2 linked regions of the Diceros bicornis minor genome follow. The protein of the gene in region 2 interacts with the protein of the main gene of each other region in a pairwise test. Links are inferred from orthologs where the notes say so. Each region holds a gene or a part of one and is shown on either strand. Other genes may lie near its edges. The genes, in order: TTC33 and TCL1A.

Region 1 (10,615 bases), on a different chromosome or scaffold from region 2:
AATCAGCGGGGGGTGGGGGGAGGGTGCAGTAAAGGAGAAATATAGATGAAAAGATTGCTAGGAGTTGACAGTGAATGAAGTTAGGTGATGAGTACATAGGATTCCTTGTACTTTTCTCTCTTTTTTCATGTATGTTTGAAATCTTCCATAATAAAAAATTTTTTAAATATTCAAACTTGGTAAATGACCTAATTCACAGAACTATTGGGGCCTGCTTACCTTTGGTGTCCATTAATAACACAATTATTTGTGTTATTAATAAAACAAATAATTGTTTATTAACAATTTAATAAATGTTAAATTGCTTTATAAATCTGCAATGATATACAAATGCAAGGGTTAGAAAGAGAAGATAATTGATGGAACAAAGCTAAAGGAAACCCTGGAAAAATTCAACAAATATTTATTAAGAGAAGGGATTTACTGAGGGATCCAAGAACTCTTACTACTTACATGGATGGCCTTAAAGATACTGAGAACTCCCTGGAATTATATATAAATTTTTACATGCCTGTGTGCACTCTGGAGAAGAGTGTCTAAGCTTTCATTCCATTCCTAAAGAAGTCTATGACCCCAACTCACTGATCAACTAACTGCTGTTAGTGCTGACTCCTAGTGGAGCCCTGCCCAGTCTTTTTTGCCTCATCCTCTCACCTGGCGCTATATCAGACAGTGCTCCACTGCTATCCATAGAGTTTTCACGGCCAATTTTTTTGGAAGTGTGTGGCCAGGTCCCTCTTCCTAGTCTGTCTTAGTCTGAGAGCTCCGCTGAAACCTGTCCACCATGGCTGACCCTGCTGGTATTTGAAATACTGGTGACATAGCTTTCAGCATCACAGCAACATGCAGCCACCACAGTAGGACAACCAATAGACGGTTGGTGTGGTTCCCTGACCACAAAACAAACCTCGGCTGCAGCAGTGAGAGTGCTGAGTCTTAACCACTAGACCACCAAGGCTGGCTAGCTCAATTAGAGGGGTAAGCAAAAGCAATGAACCAGAGGTCTTCATAAAACTATCAAAGAATGAGCATTACGGGAGTAAGGGACGAGAGAAATGAAACAGTAAGTTCTAGCAGATATCAGGATCTTCATCACTGATGCATATGGCTGAAGTAAAGTGTAAGTAATCACTAGAAGGAAGGGGACAAAAAAAGTGAGGGCAGCTGTGAGTTCATTCACATGGAAAGGCCCAGAATAATGGCAGAACTTAGAAGGATAAGAAAATTGTGGGCCATATGCCTAATTTCTTAATGAATATGAGGAAGTGCCAACAAGTTACAACAATCAAGAAACGTACAGGCTGAGGAGCCGGCCCGGTGGCTCAGCAGTTAAGCACACGCACTCCGCTTCGCGGCCCGGGGTTCACCAGTTCGGATCCCGGGCGTGCACCGACGCACTGCTTATCAGGCCATGCTGTGGTGGTGTCCCATATAAAGTAGAGGAAGATGGGCAAGGATGTTAGCCCAGGGCCAGTCTTCCTCAGCAAAGAGAGGAGGATTGGCATTGGTTGTTAGCTCAGGGCTAATCTTCCTCACAAAAAAAAAAAAGAAAGAAAGAAAGAAACGTACAGGCTGACACGGGTGAACCATATGCTTTCCACAGGAAGAGGGATTTTTAGAAAAACCTGGAGAAGTAATGGATTATAAACTATACTAAGGAATTAGGACAATGCCACACTCTCTCTCCAGACCCATTAAAATAGAGGAGAATGAGTTTCCTATGTTTGAAGATGACTACATGTAACTCAGGGGAAGACCCAAGAAATGGCTGAAAATGGAAGTGTGGTTAATATGGAACAGAAGTCCAGAGGCACAGAGTGAGACTGTGATAGAACGGATCGTTAGGAAAGTCTCACGAGATCTCAGGATAAGTCAAGTTAAGAAGTCTTGTATTTATGACTGTCCTTAAAGGTGACAAGAATGAGGATGATTACATTTTCCGTCTTCAAGTTTCAAATGGAACTTTGTTTCTAAATCAGCAATGTGAGGCACCAGGCAGTGCGAGAACCCTACTAATACAGATGGAAATCTGGTGCGTTTACTAAAGCAAATTATATTTGAACTCATTGGTCAGGTCTGTAGACTATTGGGAACACGGGTCAGGGTGGGGAGGAAAGGAAAAAGGGACAGACAGACCCACATGTATTTTTTAAAAAAGCGAATAGGTCATTCAGACTCCCAATACCCTCCCCACCCTCCAACCCAAACCATTGCTATAAATGCTGAGGACAGGTACAGGTTAAGGCCCCAGACAGTGGTTCTCAACCATGTACAAAAAAGCCACACACACTGCTGCCTCGGGTGTTTCTGCCATTCTCCTCCACAAATACTTTAAAATCTTCTAGAAATCAGAGGCTGTTGGAGGTTAGGAAAGAATGAAGTTATAGGGGTATAAAAGGCCTGATGACCACCAGCAACTGACAAGTTTAGCCTTAAAGACAGAGACAGGAATATTTTCCTCTCAGACAAGAGTTGATACTGAGTGAAAAGTATAAGCAAGTTCAAGGGTAGAGGGAAGAGAAAATACAGGATTTTACACCCCTAAGCTTCACATTTCTCCGAGAAATAGAAGGCTAGTCCTCTGCTCCAACTAAAGGGAAAAGAAATAGATTTGAGCACTTGAGAAGAATAGAAAAGATCTGAAATAGTCATTGTGGAGTACAGGAAAAGTGAAACAAGGGATGAGTAAAGATATCAAACAATATCAAGGGCCCACTAAGGGTAAAAAGCACGAAACTGCTACCAAGGCCATTAGTTTTATATTTTTACAGTTTTATATTTTCTTCAAAATTGTCTGGAGACCACAAGAGTATAGTCAACACAATACAGCTTAAGTGCAATTAGAGAGTAAACAAAAGATGTTACGACGTCAGAGAAGAGACACTTGATGCTTCCTGAAGGGATAAGTTTCGAAGAATAAGTTAGCTAGGTTTGAAAGGACGGTGCGTTCCAGAACATATGCAAAACACTTCCTGCCTCAGAACTTTTAACACCCCGAGTTGATTCAGATATCTTAAACAGTACGAGTTTATTGTTCCTCTAAAGCTATCTGAACATGAAATTAAAACTTCTTATATAGAAGGCTTTCCTGAATCCATAGTTAGATGCACAAGGCATCAATATCCTAACCTTTACATTTTTTTTCACCAGGATAAGAAATCATACGGGTAAATCATAATCATATGGGATTCATATTAAACTCATGAAACAACACAAATTCATTTTATATAGAATTACAGTTAGTGAATGCCATGAAAATTCTAAACAACGACGTTGTATTCTAAATTCTTTTGCTGGTACAATGATCCCTATAGTAGCGCTCAATTACTGTCTATGGAAATTGTGACCGTTTACCCAGCCACAAGCCAGAGAGAATGCCTGTCTTCACTGCGTCGGAGGATGCAGCACCCCAGGCGAGAAACCACTGGAGGAATACGATCAGGAAATCAAAACAGCATCCTTCCGGGTACAGGGATGTATTCAGAAGTGAGGAATTCAAGAAACAATGGGCCCGAAAATATCACCGCAACAGAAACCAGTATTGGCGACTTTCCTTCATTTTCCATAACAATAAAAATGTGCGAAGTTCATACAGGCTGCCCTGGACGTCACCTGAGAGTTCCCCAGCCCCGCCCTCCGCCACAGACACCACCAAGGAGGGGTGGAAAGAGGCTGGGATCCGCCCTCCCAGCGCTACGGAGAGATCCAAGCCGCACGGTCAGCCTACGGAGTGCGGCAGCCGCCCCAGGCGCGGGGGCATGGGCGGCCCGACCCCCAGACGTGCTCGTCCCTAGAGACCAACCTTAGTGTCCCGACTCTGCCACAGTGTGGTTGAATCTCACCTCCGACTTCTGAAGCTCCTTTCTCCCCCGACCACAAACCCACTCGCCTCGTTTGCGTCTCTTCCTCCGGCTTTCACCACGCACCGAGTAACCCCAGTTACCTGATAACCACTCCCCAAGTCCCGTGTTTACATTCCGCTTGACCTTTGCCCACCGGAAACGGAAATTATGTCCAACATCCTGCTTGCTTACCTTGGGCGCCTGGTCTCTCAAGAAATGAAGTTGCCCGACCCACGGATTCCGAACCGTGCAGAGAAGCGGGCGAGGAAGAGGCGAGTCTCAGAGCCTTTGTCTCATGCCAGTCTCTTCCCCGGGACCACAACTCCCAAAAGTCACCGCGGCCGCCCCCATCCCTGTTACCCTCTGGGATTTGTAGTTCGGACCACCGCGGCCCGGAGCGCCCTCTAGCAGCAGCCCGAAGCGTCGGCCGCGTGGGCGATCGCAATGCAGAGACACGAGAAACTGCGGCTGCGCGGGCTGAGGTGCGCGCGGAGGGAGTGAGTCCCGGACAAACCGCGCGGCTCACGCAGTCAGCGGGTAAAGCAGTCGAGGCGGGGGCGTGCTCTGAAAGAGTTGACAACCTAGCTGATGAGGCCGAGCAGATGCGGAGGACAGACGCAAAACTCGATTGAAAATGGGTTCAGGGGAGCCGATCAGAGAGGGCCGTGGTTGAATTGTAGGCTTCACGTCGGAAAAACATATCAGTTGGACCCAGAAGAGAGAATTATGGCCTGAAAATGGCTGTGGCTCATGTCTTGAAAATAAAGTGGGGAAATGTAACCCAGGAAAGTGTTTAGGAAATGGAAAAATTAAGATTGTTAACTTATCAAGGTAGCTATCTTGTGCAAAGGAAGACCATTTTCGTAGACTAGGCTTTCTCAACCTCAGCACTGTAACATTTCAAACCGGCTAATTCTTTGTTGGGGGAAGAGGGGCTCTGCTGTGTGCTGTAGGCTGTCTAGCAGCATCCCTGGTCTCTATGCACTAGATGTCTTTAGCATCCACTACCACCACCACCATCACAAGTTGTGACGACCAAAAATGTCTCCAGACGTTGCCAAATGCCCCTGGAAGAAAAATCATCGCACCACCCCTGCCCCATTGAGAACCGCTGATGTGAACCAATGATTCTCAGACCTCAGAGGGTAACCAAGACCTTTTCAAAAGTCAAAACTATTTTCATACTAATAGGAAGACATCATTTGCCTTTTTCACAATGTTGACATTTGCACTGATAGTGGAAAAGCAGTGGTGGGCAAAACTGCTGGTGCCTCAGCACAAATTAAGACGATACCAAACTGTACTAGAAGCCATTGTATTCTTCACCACCACACACTCGTAGCAGGGAAAAAAATACCGTCACTCAAGAATGTCCTTGATGAAGCAGTAAAAACTGTTTTATTAAAATGACCCTCCAGGGCTGGCCCTGTGGCTTAGCGGTTAGGTGCGCGCGCTCCGCTGCTGGCGGCCTGGGTTTGGATCCCCAGCATGCACCCACGCACTGCTTCTCTGGCCATGCTGAGGCCGTGTCCCACATACAGCAACTAGAAAGATGTGTAGCTATGACATACAACTATCTATTGGGGCTTTGGGGGAAAATAAATAAATAACATTATAAAAAAAATAAATAAAATGACCCTTGACCTTCTTAATATTCTGTATGACAAAATGGGAAGTACTCATAAAGTATTTCTGCTGTATGTTGAAGCATGATGTCTCCAGTAAAAGCACTTGTGAGACTGCATTATAAACTGAAGTAAATACTCTTTTCGTGGAATATAACTTTTACTCAGAAGAACGACTGACAGACCAACTAATTCAGACTTGGGTATTTGACAAAACTTTTCTTGAAAATGAACAAAGGGAGTCTGTTACCTCAAGAAAAACAAGTGACAGTGTTGCCACTGGTAAAATTCAAGAATTTAAGCAAAAATTATGATTTTGGAAAACTTGTTTGCCATAATGATCTTGACAGCTTCCCAATACTTCCAGACTTTTCTGATGAGATCAGTGGTGACACCAGATGTGATTTTTATTTATATTGTTAGATTAAATGCATCAACATTTGTAAGAGCTCCATAAATGAACCAGTATTTTCAAAATGATCAATGCATGATTGTGGTAGCCAGCTTCCAAGATAGCCTCCTATGATCCCTACTCCCAGCATTCACACTGTGCAGATCCTTCCCACATCATACCAGAGTTGTTCTGTTACCTACAGGATATGTATATTAATTATAAAAAACACTAAGGTGGTGGCAATGTTTCTTAATCTGGGTAGAGGTTTACATGGCCATGTTCACTGCAAACCTAAATACACTGAAAATTCATTGAGCCAAACAGTTATGATTTGTGCACTTTTCTGTACGTACCTCTATGAAAGTCTTTAAAAATATCTGTCTCCCTAACCAGACACTCAGAGCAGAATTTATGCCTTATGGTCACATTCATAGTGTTTGGTTCATAGTAGCCTTTTGAGGGGATATAGTTTGCAGAGTGAGTTATTAAGTAGTGCTTGAAGATGTACCCCTTTCGAGGGGTCTTTCCTAAATCTCTCAAATAATTTAACCTTGATCCATCCTATTCTGGTAAAGTCTATCTCCAAACTGTACATTTTCACACTTCACCCACCACTTCTCTACTTACTTTGGTCTCTGATCTTGATGTCCCTGATGATGTATTTAATACATTTCCCATGCTGTCTGTTTATAGACAACATGATCATCTTCCAAATTGCTAGAAATCTTCTAAATCTATCATAGTTAACATTTATTGACAGTCACAATAAATAGAACAGTCCATTTGTTTACAATAAATAGAACAGTTCAATAAATATTGATTTTTCAAACAAGAGAACTTCTTGTACAATTTTCTACAGTCAGGGTAAATACTTAGAGCAATTTATAAGTTCTCTAAAGAACAATCTTATGTGCTATTAATTAACACTCTTTAGTACTATTTTCTTTTCTTACAATTATCAAGCTATTTTAAGGATTTAGAATGCCAACAATCTAGCACAAGCCTGCCTAACAGTGCCAGACGGGATGGAAGATTTCACGCTAATTGGATTCTAACATAGTGGAATTCCAACCAAATCCAGTGTTAGCACCCAGAGACATGGTAACCGCTTTGGTTTTTATTGTACATATATTAATATTTTGTTCAGTTGGCTAATTTTTAGATGAAATTAAACTTAACTTAGTTGAGACAAAAGTCACAATGTTTGAGTGCTAAAATTTATTCAAGCACTATATTTTATATTTAGGCACATTGTTAAAAAGATGCAGATGGTCAGCCATGAACAAGAGCTTTCTTTTTTTCATTGTTTTTCCAGAAGTTAAAAAAGTTAAGCACACTGTAACAGATGAAAAATGTTTTCCTTTTTTATCCACTTTCTAAATCAAATTATTTGAAATTGTCTACTTAGATATACTCCAGTCAAAACATCCATGAACGTCTCAGAAATATTGTACCACAAAGATCGATTTCTACCCTACTACCAATTTAGTTATATTGTATGTGGAATTTTATTCATCTCGTCAGAACTCACAACAAAAATGAGATTTTTATTGTGGATGAGGGAGATGGAAGGAATTAAGGGGAAAAGATTTTAACGACACACATTTTTCTTTCATTCCAAAGGTGCCAGAGTATAGATGCATGAAATTCTACATCCAGCCACAGTCCACCCAACATTAATTCAACGTAAATGGTATTACTACAAGGTCAAAAGGGTGGGGGGTGGGCAGGGCAGAGGGCAGGACTTTTTGTAGAAAATCATTTAAAACTCTGAAAAACTACAAAAGCATCTCAAGAGAAAATATCATCAAAGTAAAAGCAATGGAGTTTATTTCAGTGAAATTATTTTAAATTAGATATGATATATTAAGCTCCCATATCCCGCAACCTGGTAGAAAAGTTCCTCTCAGTGAGAAATCATTTATTTTAATGGCAAAATTTTTACATATCAGTAAAATCTGTTATATTTAAAACTATGTATACAGTACATTTCTGGCAAAAACCTTATACATCTTTCAGTTGTCAAGACAAAGTAAAAATATGGTTGCATAAAATCACAAAAAATATAAATTGCTGAAAAGATAATAAAAAAAGATTAAAAATCATTTGCATTGACTCTCTTATATCTTCACTTAATAAGAATTTGCAAACTACAATAAATTTGTGAAAATTCTGATGCAACCTTGACACACTCAACCAAAAGTTATCATTTCAAATATCCCAGCTTAAAAAAGAATTTACTGCAATAGTCTGTGCATTTATACTATTTGTACAAGTGCAATATTTAAATATCTTCAAAATAAAACTCAGTAACTAAAAGGAATCACAATAACTTAAAAAAGAAGCAAAGTTTACAAAATTAACAATTTTTAGAAGGTCCTATTTAATTGGTTCCTCCTTTAGTTCCCCCCTCCCCTTAACAGCTAATAGAGACATTACGGCGATGTCTTAGTTTTATATACAAATATGTAACTTTAAAAATACAGTCTTCTGTTCTTAACAGCAGGAACAAAATGCTGCATTTAGAGACCCTACATGAAATCAATATCCCCAAAACAGAGGGCCACACACAAATTATAAATACAGTTTGAACTTATATTTAAATGGAACTCCTCTATTAATTTATACAGCTTTCCGATTTAAAGTTGAAGAGAACAAGCCCCAGACAAAAAAGAAAAAACATTTTTCTTTTAAATTCAGTGCATGTTTCTAGAGGTGCTGGAGCCAAATCTACAACTACAGTAATTATTTATGCAAGCTATCATGACATTTGAGTACATTACTGTCTGGTTACATGGGTGCTCACTGGATTTCCCAAACCAATCCTATAATACAGAGTCTTAAAAGAGAACAAAAGATAGCTCTGTTGCAATGGAAAAATGATTAATATCCCCCCCCAAAAAAATCAATTTCTTGAAGTTAAAATAGTATAAGGCAATTATGGGTGATAGTGGTTTTTTTATTTTTTATTAGCATACATGATACCAATTTTATCTGAGGTGACTTTAAATCTTCATTTACACCTATTATGTAATGCTATTACTAAGAGCAAGAAAAAGAAAATACGAATCAGAGATCTTAGGAAGATTAAGCATCTTTAGGCAGTTCTCATAATCCTACTTTTTAAAAAGTACTTAAAATCCAAAACAAATGTGACCATCTAGAAGAACTAACCGATTTGTTCCATATTTTATCAGAATAATAATGTCATATCTAAGGAGACATAACCAAATGCAATGTGTAAACTTTAGTTGAATCCTAGTTTGAAATAACCAACTATAAAAGAAATTTGGAGGACAACTGGGGAGATCTAAATATGCATGATTAGATGACATTAGGGAATTATTAATTTTATAATGGTGTTATGGTTTTTTAGGAAAATGTCATCATTTTTGGGAGATGCTTGAAATGTTGAGGGGTGATGAGTATGTCTGCAACATCCAAATGGCTCGGGGGGGAACAGCATATATATACAAGCATATATGTGTATAACTATATCTATATACACAGATATAGACAAAGCAAATATGGAAAAATGTTAAGTATTGAATCTAAGTGGTAGATACACATGTGATCACCCTTCAGACTTTCAATTTTTCTAAGAATGTTCATGATAAAATTTGGGAGAAAAAGTCTTATCTGAGCGTTTAAACAGTTTGTAAGAGATGTGCTTTCTGTGCACTGAATCAATTTAAAAGATACATAATCGAATGCTAGAAATTTCTACATACATTCAATACCGGCTGACATGATAAGCAGCAGAATTTGTGAGACTGGCAAAAACAAGATGATTTACGTACAGTATATGCAACTCAGCTCTTGTGACAAAAACAGCAATTTATGTACAGAATAGAGTGGGACAAGTTGTAAGATTAAACTTACTGCCTAGAGTATCTGAATATATAAGTTCTGTGTGTTTTTGGACTTACCAAGCTAAAGAAAAAATTCTAATTGTGTCTAAAACCTTTGATGTGACTTACCATATACTACAGAATATTAAGGGGAGATATGGAAGAGTCATCCAGACTGTCCCTACTGTTGGAAGATAGATGCTATTCAAGAAGTTAAGGAGCTCAGAAAACAAAATCATCTATAAAGGTCTCTGGGGATTCTACGCAAATATTTATTGAATACATTTATGAAGCAAATATATAACACATCAACATGTAATAATATATCAAGGCCTTTATGGTAAATTAATATTCTACAAAGCCCTGTGTACACTAAATATAAAATAGCCAAAAATCAAGCGAGCCTGAGAGTCCTATAATTCATTGTGTATATTATATTATGCTATATGCCTACTCAACAATGAACAACAAAATTATCTTAATTCATTTTTGCACATTAGGCTTTTAACTATTAATCACATTCCAATCCCTGTGCAAATTGCATTCCAAAAGGCCAATCTTCAGTTATAGTTATATATAACTTGATTATAAATGGAAGCATTTGGCTATGATTTATTATACATGCTTATTGCTCTCAAAGAAATAAGCAAAGTTTTAGGTTTACTGTGCAAGAATTTTAATTAGATTCGCACACATCTCAAAAAATTCTATCGTGTGACTTCCAGGTCTTGAAGTTAAGTCAACAGGAGAAGAGTCAAGTGAGGTCACTGATGAGGTAAGAGAAGCTTCTGAGGATTTTCCTGGAGCCTCAGCGTCTGAATCATTCCTTTGGCAAGATCGATAGTTGCTAACGGATCCCGATCTCTGTGGAGTAGCAGTTCCGGATTTGGCTTCAGTAATTTC
Region 2 (10,883 bases):
CGGCACAGCTTTCAGCATCATAGTCACACGCAGCCACCACAGTATGACAACTGACAGACGGGTGGTGTGGGTCCCTGACCGGGAAACGAACCCAGGCAGTGGCAGTGACAGCACAGAATCTTAAGCACTAGACAACCAGGGCTGGCTATATAAAATTTACATATAGTATATAGTATATGATATTTATATAACTCACATATAAAAATAAGTCCCACACCATGTTAATTGACTAAAATTCCGTTTAAAATATCCTTAAAACTGAAAAGCTAGGTCAAGAGATATTGTGTAAAGGGTACAGAGGGTGTTTTCAGCATGAAAGCTAAAAGCAGTCCATCGTCAACATATTTACCTCAGCTTACATCTGTTAGAAGCATAAAGACTATGACCTAATTTCCTAGACGGAATACAGAGCTATATGAAATATTTTTCTGAGGGGAAATTAATGCAATCAAATTAAATTAAAAAGAATTGAGGATGGAGCAGAACCAAGGTGATGCACAGCACCAGTAACACTGCGGGTAATAGCCAAAGTGTGGAAAAATCTCAGAGCTGAGAAATGTTTCTGATACTAATTTGGGTAAACTTTCACCTGCCTCTGGACAAATGGTATTACCGAACCAGGTTTGTTTTGCCTGCCCCCCAGAAAGCCAATCACTGAGATGATGAGATTGCGGAGAGAGGGTTTAATCACAAGGCAGCCATGTGAGGAAACGGGAAAATGAGTCTCAAACCCGCTTCCCCGAAAACAGGGACTCAAGGATATTTATCCGGAAGGGGGCAAGGTGGTCTGAAATGTGGAGATAGATGATTGGAGATGAGGAGAAGTGAGGTAATTGATGATCTGTGCAAGCATGGTTAGACTTCACGCCTCTTCATAGGATGCGTGTTCACAAAATGGTGGTGTTGGCATGACCCAAGGGTGGAGTTTTTAGCCTCTTGATGTCAAAAGGTCGCTTATCGGACATCTGTGTGGGCCCAGTTGATGGGTTGGTGGTCTCAACCGGCCTGAAGTGAACAAGGGGTTCTAATTCCTGAAAAACAGCTCAAACACCCATTACCATGGTGACCCAGGCTTCAAAGAGATGTCATCTATAGGAATCTAGTGGGAGTCAGATAGCATATTGCCTAAATAGCACAGTTAACGATGGGCGGGTAAACAGCTAAAAGCTATAGCCAGTAATTGCAAAAAGGACAAAGAACTTTAGTCTTTAGTCCCTAGCTACTTAATCATCAATGGCTAACTTTTTGCCGGTTTCAATGGGAGCCCCATTTTTAGCCCGCAGTGTCTTGCAATTCTGCTGCATGCTGCTTACTCCAGCATCAACTACCGGGTGCGTTTTAAGTAGGGGTTATGGGTGTGGTTTGCTTTTGCATTCTGTTTTGTCTGTGGGTTGGGTGAGTAGAGGGCCATGCTACTCAAGGTAGTTCACAGACCATCAGCCTCACCATGGAACTTGTTGGAAATGCGGAATCTCAAGCCTCCCCGAATCCTGCCCCCCGCCCCCGCGCCCACCGAATTAGAATCTGCATTTTAACAAGATGGCCATACATACCTTAAAGTTTGAGAAGCGCTTAAAACTTAAAGAAAACTCAGTTAAGTTTAAAGAGAGAGATAGTAGCTATGCAGTGGGCAAAGCTCTGTTCAGTCCCCGAGTTTTACTTAGAATATTCTTGTCCCAAATTCTCCATTCATCTAGAGATGAAATTTCCTCCTTTACGGGCAAAGTCTATCTCTTTTACTCTGAGCTCACTTGATCATCAGCCTTAATTATGTAAAATATGGCCCAGACCTAGGAATAATTAAAAAAACCACTCTAGGCAACTAGCACGGATGCCTTAACATCCACATTGCAGAGTTTCTGTGTTTTACACATTGGCGAGATCTCAGAACCTTACAATCCTAATATCTTGGTGTTATGGTTCCCTGCACACAAAAGATTGGAAGCAGCAAATTAAAAGTAGAACATAGAGAAAAAAGTAAAGTACAGGCTTGGGGTGAGGTTTATAGTGAGAATTGGTGGTAGAAAGAATAGCTTTAACATTTTCACGGTTATTTGGTTTTATAAATCTTGTTCACACTTCAAACCCACTAACTCAAATCTTAAAGAAGTGGTTCTCAAGGTTCGCTACACATTAAATCACCTGAGGACCCCCTTAAAAAAAAATGTAATGCTTAAGCCTCAGTCTCAGAGATTCTGGTCTAATTGGTCTGGGGTGGGGTCCAGGCACAGGTATTTTATAAAAGCTTCCTAGGTGATTCTAATTAGCAGCCAGGGTTGTGAGCCACTAGCTTAGTGGTTCAGGGCCATTCATTGTAGGGCCCAGAGGCCTGGATGCCTACGTAGCCCTGTATAGGCTCTTTACAGTGTGCTACAATCAAGGTTAGGATGACATTGGTACCAGGAGTTTCTTTTAAGAGGAGAATGCTTTATATATTAGAAATGATTTTGACAGAAAATAAAATAGCCTAGAGCGAAATGATACAGAAACGAATGTCCAACTCTTGTGTCATAGTTAGAGAAATCTAAAGGGAGCTGGTGGAATAAGGCAGACACCCACCATCTCTCTCCTGATCCTCCCCCTGTAGACCAATGGGATCTTGTTACAATGCAGATTCTGACTCTGTAGGTCTGGGGAGGGCTCGAGACTTTGCAGTTTTCATGAGCTCCAGATGATGCTCCAGGGACCATACCTAGGGCAGCAAGGCTGTAGTTCACACTGATGGCCATGACTCACCCTCGAGCCCCTTCTTTGGAACCCAAACAAGAAGGATGGCTTCCTCACTCTCGAAGAATGAATTCCATTGGGGTCCTTAATATCCAGAATCACTCTGCTCAAAACCATAGGCTTTCCTGAACTAATGTCATGAGTGTATCCATCTCTTCTCTTAATCGTTCCCTCCTCCCACTAGGCAACTTTATCAGGGGATCAGGGACTGTTGAGTTAGAAATGGGCTTAGAGACCATAGAGCTCGGCCCATTCATTACAAAAGCTTGGCAACGAGGCTGAGATGGCAAAGGGTGGCATATTTCACAGGTGAGAGTGGCAAAGTCAAAACTGGATCCAACTCAGGAGAAGAAAGCATCAGTTAAGGATTCTAGTAAAAAAATCAGTCAAAAATAATTGCTTTGTATTACTTTCTACATGCAACATCCGCTTGATTATCTCCATGGAGCTTGCAGACTAACAAAGAGTCAGAAAGGAATATACGACTCTAAAGCTAGGCTGACTGCCCTCAGAGCCCTAAGATGGGGCAGATAGCATGCTGGAGAGGCTCCCCTGCCTCTGAGACCACACAGCAGCTATTGTTTCCCCTCTCATGGAATTTCCATAAAGAAGGCTCAAGGCCTCCACAGAAGCTGCCCAATGAATTCCTCAGTCATCCTTATTTCACTTTTCATTTTTTGGAACTCCTTCTCAAATGATTTTCCAAATCCTACAAAGAATGACATATACTCTTGCTCAATATTAAGAAACCCTCATGTGAAAATGAAGAAATATAACATTCTTTCAAAGTAGGGGGGATCATCTTCCCAGGACATTCAGAAGGGAATCCAGCCAAATGGGTCTGATTCTTGCTCCATTATTTGTTTCTTTGTGCTGCTTAGAAAAGCAAAACAAGCGCTAATGAAATGGACAGGCCCAGTGGCATTCTGGATCCTGGAGCCATCTATGTGGCTGGGTCAGTTGGCCACACTGGCTCCTGGGTGCCCCCTTCCCTTGCCACAAAAGGCCATCCCAGAGGCACTGTTTAAGCTGGACTTGTTAATCATTTCTGACCTCAAAGCTCAGGACTCGGCTGAGACGTCTCCAACAGAGCATATTACCACAGTATCTTGCTCCCATTGGCTGTCTGGGTCTGGAATTAAGACCCATCCACAGGGAAATCACCCTGAAAGCCACAAGTCTGAATATCAAATACAAACACCACTAGGGGCTGCACTGGCAAAGAGGTTTGCTGGGCTCCTGTCTCCTCCCTCCACTCCCAACCTTACTTGGCTTTTGTCTTCTATTTTGTGTTCCTGGTAAATCCAATTATATGTCTATTACTGTAGGCCACCTCCGCACCTTGTTGGGAATTAGGCTGTCTGGATAGGCAGAGTAGCAGATACATTCCTTTGCTATCAGGGGATCAGGTGTTAGGCTCATTGTCACTTTCCTGACGTTTGAAAAGATCAATTATTTTCTTAGTGCCTAGTCAGAGAGATGGGGAAGAGCTGGAAGGCTAGGCAGCAGCAGCGGTGATGTTTGAGCAATGATGCTGAAGCTCGTTTACAAGTTTCTCATTGTACTTTATTTTCTTAATTGCCTTAATGCGCGTGTGTTACTCCAAAATGAAGTGAAATTGTTTTCCTTATTTGCTGTAATTTACAGAGAGGTTTGATCATGTAACCCAGGGACTTCAAATCCATTGATCTTGGGGTAGAGGGAGGGGTTTCTTTTTAAGTATTCCTTTTGAACCATGTTTTCACTAATGAATTCAAAGCCTATAAAGGGAAAAACCCATGTTTCTTCACCACCAAGTTTCACAATAGCTATTAGATGACCACAGCATCATCAAAGCCGTGGAAAATACATGTCTTGGGTGTGGGAGGGGGCGGGGGCTTCAAGAGTTGCACTTTGCCAAGGAAATTGATTCTGACACCCAAATCCACAGGCTGAAGGTGATGCTGTGAACCTGGCAAACACCAGGCCTGGTTCAGGTTTGCATGGATTTCTTCTGATCCCACAAGGTGTGGCGGGGGGCCCTGGCTCTGCGTCGTCTGGCGTCAGCTGTGAGTTCCAAGCAGAGGCTCGGAGTGCCGGTCTGGGGTGTGGCTTGACCAGCTGACTCGGACAGTGGGTCTGGGCGTCAAGGGGAGAGAAGGACGCTGGTGCCTCAGACAGAAGAAAGGACCAAGATACAGAACAGGGTACCTCCCCAGCAGTGGGGAATGGGAGGGGCGTGGAGGTGAGGCTGGCTGGCTGGGGTCCTTAAGGAAGTCCAGGGTCTGTTGGGCTGTGCCTGCGCTCCTAGACGCTGCCACGGTCCCAGGACATAAGTCTGGCCAGTGCTCAGGGCCAGCTCTGGACACTGCCCGGTCGCCCCACGTGCCACGCGCCCGCCCATCCTGCCTCGCGCCCAGCCCACGCGCCCCGCCCCACTACCTCGCGCCCCGCCCCACTACCCCGCGCCCCGCCCCACTACCCCGCGCCCCGCCCCACGTGCCCCGCGCCCCGCCCCACTACCCCGCGCCCCGCCCCACTACCTCGCGCCCCGCCCCACTACCCCCACGCCCCGCCCCACGTGCCCCGCGCCCCGCCCCACGTGCGCCGCGCCCCGCCCCACGTGCGCCGCGCCCCGCCCCACGTGCCCCGCGCCCCGCCCCACTACCCCGCGCCCCGCCCCACTACCTCGCGCCCCGCCCCACTACCCCCACGCCCCGCCCCACGTGCCCCGCGCCCCGCCCCACTACCCCACGCCCCGCCCCACGTGCCCCGCGCCCCGCCCCACGTGCGCCGCGCCTCGCCCCACGTGCCCCGCGCCCCGCCCCACTACCTCGCGCCTCGCCCCACTACCCCGCGCCCCGCCCCACGTGCCCCGCGCCCCGCCCCACGTGCGCCGCGCCTCGCCCCATGTGCCCCGCGCCCCGCCCCACTACCTCGCGCCTCGCCCCACTACCCCACGCCCCGCCCCACTACCCCGCGCCCCGCCCCACGTGCGCCGCGCCCCGCCCCATTACCTCACGCCTGGCCCTTTCGCACGTCCCACCTCGCGCCCCGCCCGCCTCCCCGCCCCACCGATTGGGGGCGCCCGCACGCGATCCCGCTATAAAGTGTCCAGGCCTTGCGTCCCACACACCAGCGAGAGGCCTGGAGAGGCTGCGGGTCTTGCGGCCTGGACCGCCCGAGGCGCCATGGGCGAGCTCCCGTTCTTCAGGGCGCACACTGCCTTTCACCCGGACCGCTTGTGGATCTGGGAAAGGGCCGTGTATGTGGACGAGAACCAGCGCACTTGGCTGCCCATAACCATCGAGGTATGGCCGCTTCGGGGCCAGGCCGGGCGGGGCAGCATGGGCGTCACCATCCCTGGCCCGGCCTGGGGAGCCAGAGACGTCCCAGGCCGCGCGAGGCCCTCCAGGAGCCCCTCAGAGGCGGCAGGGTGAGGGCGGTGGCGGGAAGGCTCAGAAGGCCTGATCCGCCCAGGGCGGCCAGGGGGCTCACAGATGAAACCACTTTGAGGTGGGCTGTGAAGGATGAGTAGGAGTTCTCCAGTTCGCTGGGAAGGAGGGTGGGGAAAAACACAAAGGCATGTTGGCCAAAGGATGGGGACCCATTGCCTCTGGAGTGTGTGAACATGATCTTGAGTAAAATAGGACTTGTCTGGGTTTGAGGGTCCTAAGCCATAAAATGGGAATAACATCTCTCTAAAGATTCATACACGTGGCTGATTATCAGAATCTCCTTAGGTAAGCCTCAGAAATCTGTGTTGTAAAAGGACCCTCAGACAGATTATGATCACCAATTTTGGGGACCACTGCCCTAGAGTTTGGGTTATTTCATATCTCCTCTATGCTTTGGAAAAAACAAACTTCACAAACAATACAGTAGGATAAAAGCCAGCATTGAATAAATGTTGACTTTGTCTTATGTGTGATGCCTTAAGATGGAGCTTTAGTTAACTTTTTTAAAGAAATATAACTCTCTTACAAGTACTTTCCACCAGAGCATAGATTTCCTCCAAGAAACTTAGGTGAAAAATGTTGAAACTCTTTCCATATATAAATGGAAGAAAGCATAAAAGCAAAATTTAAATACATAATATTAGAACATTTATGTGATATATTAGCAAACAGCAAAAAGTTATTGAGTAGTGCCTGTGTCCCCATTTTACAGATGAGGAAACTTGAGGCATAAAAATGTAATATTGTCCAAAGTAGAACTGCTAGTAGGTAATGGGCTTGGGGTTCCAGGTTCTTAACCACCATCTAAATTTGCATCTTTATTGAAATTCAAATTTTTTATGTATACATATATATACTTTTAAAAATCAAGTTAAATATTTGCTTTTTTTAAGTCAAGTATTTGAAGAAAATTTAAGTGACTATCTTTTTTTAATCTCTGGTTGAGGGGTATCTTCTTCAACATGACACTGAAACCACAGAGTTTTTCACATAATCATTATAAATTCTGCACAAAACATAACCCATTAGCAAACCCATTTGCCTCCTGTAACTGCAAAGACTAGTATTCTTAATATGTAAAGATTTACTTAGCCAGCCCTCGTGGTCTAGTGGCTAAAATTTGTAGTTCTCACCACCTCTGCTGGGGTTCGTTTCCCGGTCAGGGAACCACACTATCCATCTGTCAGTTGTCATACTGCGGTGGCTGTGTGTTGGTGTGATGCTGGAAGCTGTGCCACTGGGATTTCAAATACCAGCAGGGTCCGCCATGGTGGACAGGTTTCAGTGGAGTTTCCAGACTAGACAGACGAGGAAGAAGGACCTGGCCACCCACTTCTGAAAAATTGGCCATGAAAACCGTGTGAATAGCAGTGGAGCATTGTCTGATACAGCACCGGAAGGTGAGAGGATGGTGCAAAAAGACTGGGCAGGGTTCCGCTCTGCTATACAGAGGGTGGCTAGGAGTCGGAATTGACTCGAGGGCACTAACAACAACAAAGATTTACTTAAATCAATAAGAAAAAGATGAATAAGCAAACTAAAAATGGTTAAAGGATATAGAAGACTCTAACAGAGCAAGAATGGTGACTTCCACACTTATACTTTGCAGGATGATCAGAATTATTTTATAATAGTGAGTTCTAATTTATTTCATAGAAAATTTGAAATAACTATTTCCACTTTGGAAAAATAGTCATTGAACAAACAGGAATGCCTAGTTTATATGCCAAGCACGATTCTAGGCTGTGGGGGTTTGCAGTGACTGTGATAAAACCCCTCTACTTGTCAAGCTGACATTCGAGGCCAGTGGTTAGTTGTGTAGGAGAAGGAAAGTGGGATGAGAGGTGATCACGAGTGGTGTGGGGGCTTCAGGCAGGACCCCTGGGAGCTTAATTCGCATTTGCCTGTCATATTTTGCCCATGATTTTATTTGAAACCTTTCTGAACCTCTATTTTAGGCATGCCTCTCATTTATATCTTAGAGTTGGATTTTGCTGAAATTTGTCTTTCTAGACATACGGTTGAGCAGAGACCTGCCTAAAAGAAGGATGTGAGCCCTGTGTAGATCTAGGGGAGAATGTTCCAGGCAGAGGACACAGGTGCCAGAGCTTACTGGGAGTGTGGCACGTCCCAGAAATAGCGAGGGGGCCTGTGTGGCTGCACCGGGGTTGGGGGTGAAGGACAGGATGACAGGAGATGAAGGAGGCAGGGGCCCGGCTACGTGGGCCTGTGGGCTGTGGTAAAGATTCCAGTTCATTCTGCCTGCGATGGGAAGGCGTCGGACGGTGTCGAGCGGGGCAGTGACGTGATTTTTGGATGCACACCCTAGCTGCTGTGCAGAGACTTGATTGTGGGGCCCAAGACGAAGAAGGCAGCAAGTTAGGAAGTTATGGCGATAGTCCAGGCGAGAGATGATAGCAGAGGGGCAGTGGTGGAGATGGCGAAGAGTGGTCTCACCTGATTCTGGGGTCCGGGATATCTTGGGATATATGACAAAATAAAGAAAAATCAGAGAAAATCCATCAGCTGAAATAGCTAAGGAAACCGCATGGGTGAGGAAGCTCAGGGCCCCATGGCGTATCCTAGCAACTAGAAGTTTGTCAGGGAGAAGTGAGCCTTTGGTGGCCCTGTCTGGGTATCTGGACATGTGTGAGTGCTGGTCGTCCTGGCCCAGCCAGCGTCTCTGAGAAGAGCGTGCATGGCTTAAGGGATGGAGCCGTGGGAACTGTGATCACCGGCATCTCAGATGCCAGCCGGGCCGGGCGGGTGGCAGGAAGGACTCTGGTTATTTGTGCCTGGAGGAGCTCTGAGTGTGCCCTGACGGTGTGCCCTGCTCTTCTCTTCCCTTCAGATGGACAGCAGCCTGCAAGTACTCATGCGTCAGGAAGATATCCCCCTGGGGGAGCCGGTGCGCCCCAGCCAGCTCGGCCCGTACCTGCTGCCTCTCATGTGGCAGCTCTACCCCGGAAGAAAATACCGCGGCTCAGACTCCAGCTTCTGGCGCATAGTGTACCACATCGAGGCAAGCCTGTGCTTCTCCCAGGGACCCGTCGGGTCATCGTGGGTGGCCCTGCTCCCCACCCCCCCAATGCCTGGCCTCGGCAGTATATCTCTTCCCTCTGTCTCTGCACCAAAAGCTAAAAACAACTGGAGGGAATTGACAGCTGCAGATTTTGAGAGGACCGGATTAGAGAGACGGTAGAACTGAATGACCAGGTCACTCTCTGGGGTCTCTACCAGAAGCCCCGTCCGCCACATGAAGGCCTCTCTGGTGGGCACTCGGGGTGAAGGCTGGTGGGAGGAGGGAAAGTCTCCCGAGGGCCTCTGGAATCCCCCCATGCAGGTTGCCACCTGCTGCTCCAAGCTTGTGGAAGGCCTGGGAGCCAGGAAGGGAAGAATTCCCAGGGCTCTGGTCTCTAATTTCCTTCTCTCTCGCAGTTGAGTGGCATAGAGGATATGCTCCTTGAACAGCTGCCAGACCCGGATAATGAGTGACGTGGTGAGCACCGTGGGGCCCCATACCTTTTAGTCCAGCGTGGCCAGGTCACAAAGAAGGCACACCCTTTCTCCCTGCAGGCAGTGCTGACCCCGCCCCGACTGTGCTGCCCTGGGTCCCGAGGGCTGGGGACCCAGGCTCCCTCCTCTACCACCTTAGGAGCCAATCCTTTTTAGGCAGCCCCCTTAACAACAGAGGCACACATCAGCACAGCGCTTCACAGGTTACGGCGTGTCGCTTGATTGTCACATCAGCTGAGCTAGGTAGTACTTGATTTTATAGGTTACAGAAATGAGTTTTGAGGAAGGACAATGACTTGCCCAGGTCACAGAGCCAGGTTTCAAATCCAGGTCTAGTGGCACCAAGCTGCTCGCTCTGTTCACAGTCTGCCCTCCTCAGCTCCGGGGCCAGCATTGACCACCCGGCAGCTCTGCTCCCGCCCCTCGCCTCTGCCGGGTCCTTCCCTTTGCCCTGACTCTTGTCTTGTCTTGTCCTCCTGCCCCAGGTCCCACGGTTCCTGTCTCCCTGAGGCCCCATCCTGCTGGCCTGCAGTGGGGATGTTCGAGCTTGTGTTCACCTGTTTTACCAGCCCTGTGTTCTGCTCTGCCACACCCGGGTCTGGGAGGGAATGGACGGGCAGAGGATGAGCCCCACCCAGGGCCTGCTGGACCTGCCTGCACCCCTCCACCCTGGTGTCCCCTGGCAGACTGGCACTGGAGAGGACCTTGCTCGGTATAGCTTCCTCCAGGTGCCCCGGCTATACCTGAGCCTCGGGTTTTCTCAGTTGCCTGACAGTTCTTGGCCTCTCTCTATTCTGTCCCTCACAGCAACTAGTGTCTTGTGCTGCTCACCCGGGGCTGCTTTTCTTCCTGTCCCTCAGCTCTGTGTACCTCTGGCTGCAAGGGAATAGGGCCTACTCGCCTGGGCCTGGGCCAGGCCTCTGAGCCCCTGGACCAGCTATCTCATGTGGCACATGCCTGCACACAGCCCCACCTGCCCAGCAGGTTCAGGTGCAGTTCACGGGAAGGCCTGCGAGGAGCCCAGGTCTTTGCTCAGGACACAGAGCCTGCTGGTTAAAGGTCCAGAGCCCGGCACATAGCAGGAGGCCAGGCAAGCGAGCACTGGAGACGGGCCCTCAGGTTGCCCACCTGTAGAAGGACAGAGGTTGGAGGTCCTCCCTTTTACAGGTGCCCACACACCTGGATGTTATGAAGTTGTATATA

What was found.
Region 1: the proteins of TCL1A (region 2) and TTC33 interact in binary tests that used the Homo sapiens proteins (3 or more experiments, as listed by UniProt). The two-hybrid records come from large-scale screens. The link is inferred for Diceros bicornis minor from reciprocal best matches to the Homo sapiens genes TCL1A and TTC33.

Annotation. Positions count from the first base shown.
Region 1 is NC_080759.1:29,126,267-29,136,881, reverse strand, and holds the start of TTC33 (tetratricopeptide repeat protein 33), read right to left. Parts: upstream 4,133-10,615; 5' UTR 4,035-4,132; intron 3,963-4,034; exon of another isoform or gene 3,803-3,962; intron 1,447-3,802; exon of another isoform or gene 1,299-1,446; intron 1-1,298. Other genes in the region: PRKAA1 (5'-AMP-activated protein kinase catalytic subunit alpha-1), read right to left, coding at 10,373-10,615.
Region 2 is NC_080763.1:41,262,889-41,273,771, reverse strand, and holds the start of TCL1A (T-cell leukemia/lymphoma protein 1A), read left to right. Parts: upstream 1-5,864; 5' UTR 5,865-5,897; coding exon 5,898-6,017; intron 6,018-9,015; coding exon 9,016-9,186; intron 9,187-9,602; coding exon 9,603-9,659; 3' UTR 9,660-9,663; intron 9,664-10,165; 3' UTR 10,166-10,883. UniProt on the Homo sapiens protein: Enhances the phosphorylation and activation of AKT1, AKT2 and AKT3. Promotes nuclear translocation of AKT1. Enhances cell proliferation, stabilizes mitochondrial membrane potential and promotes cell survival.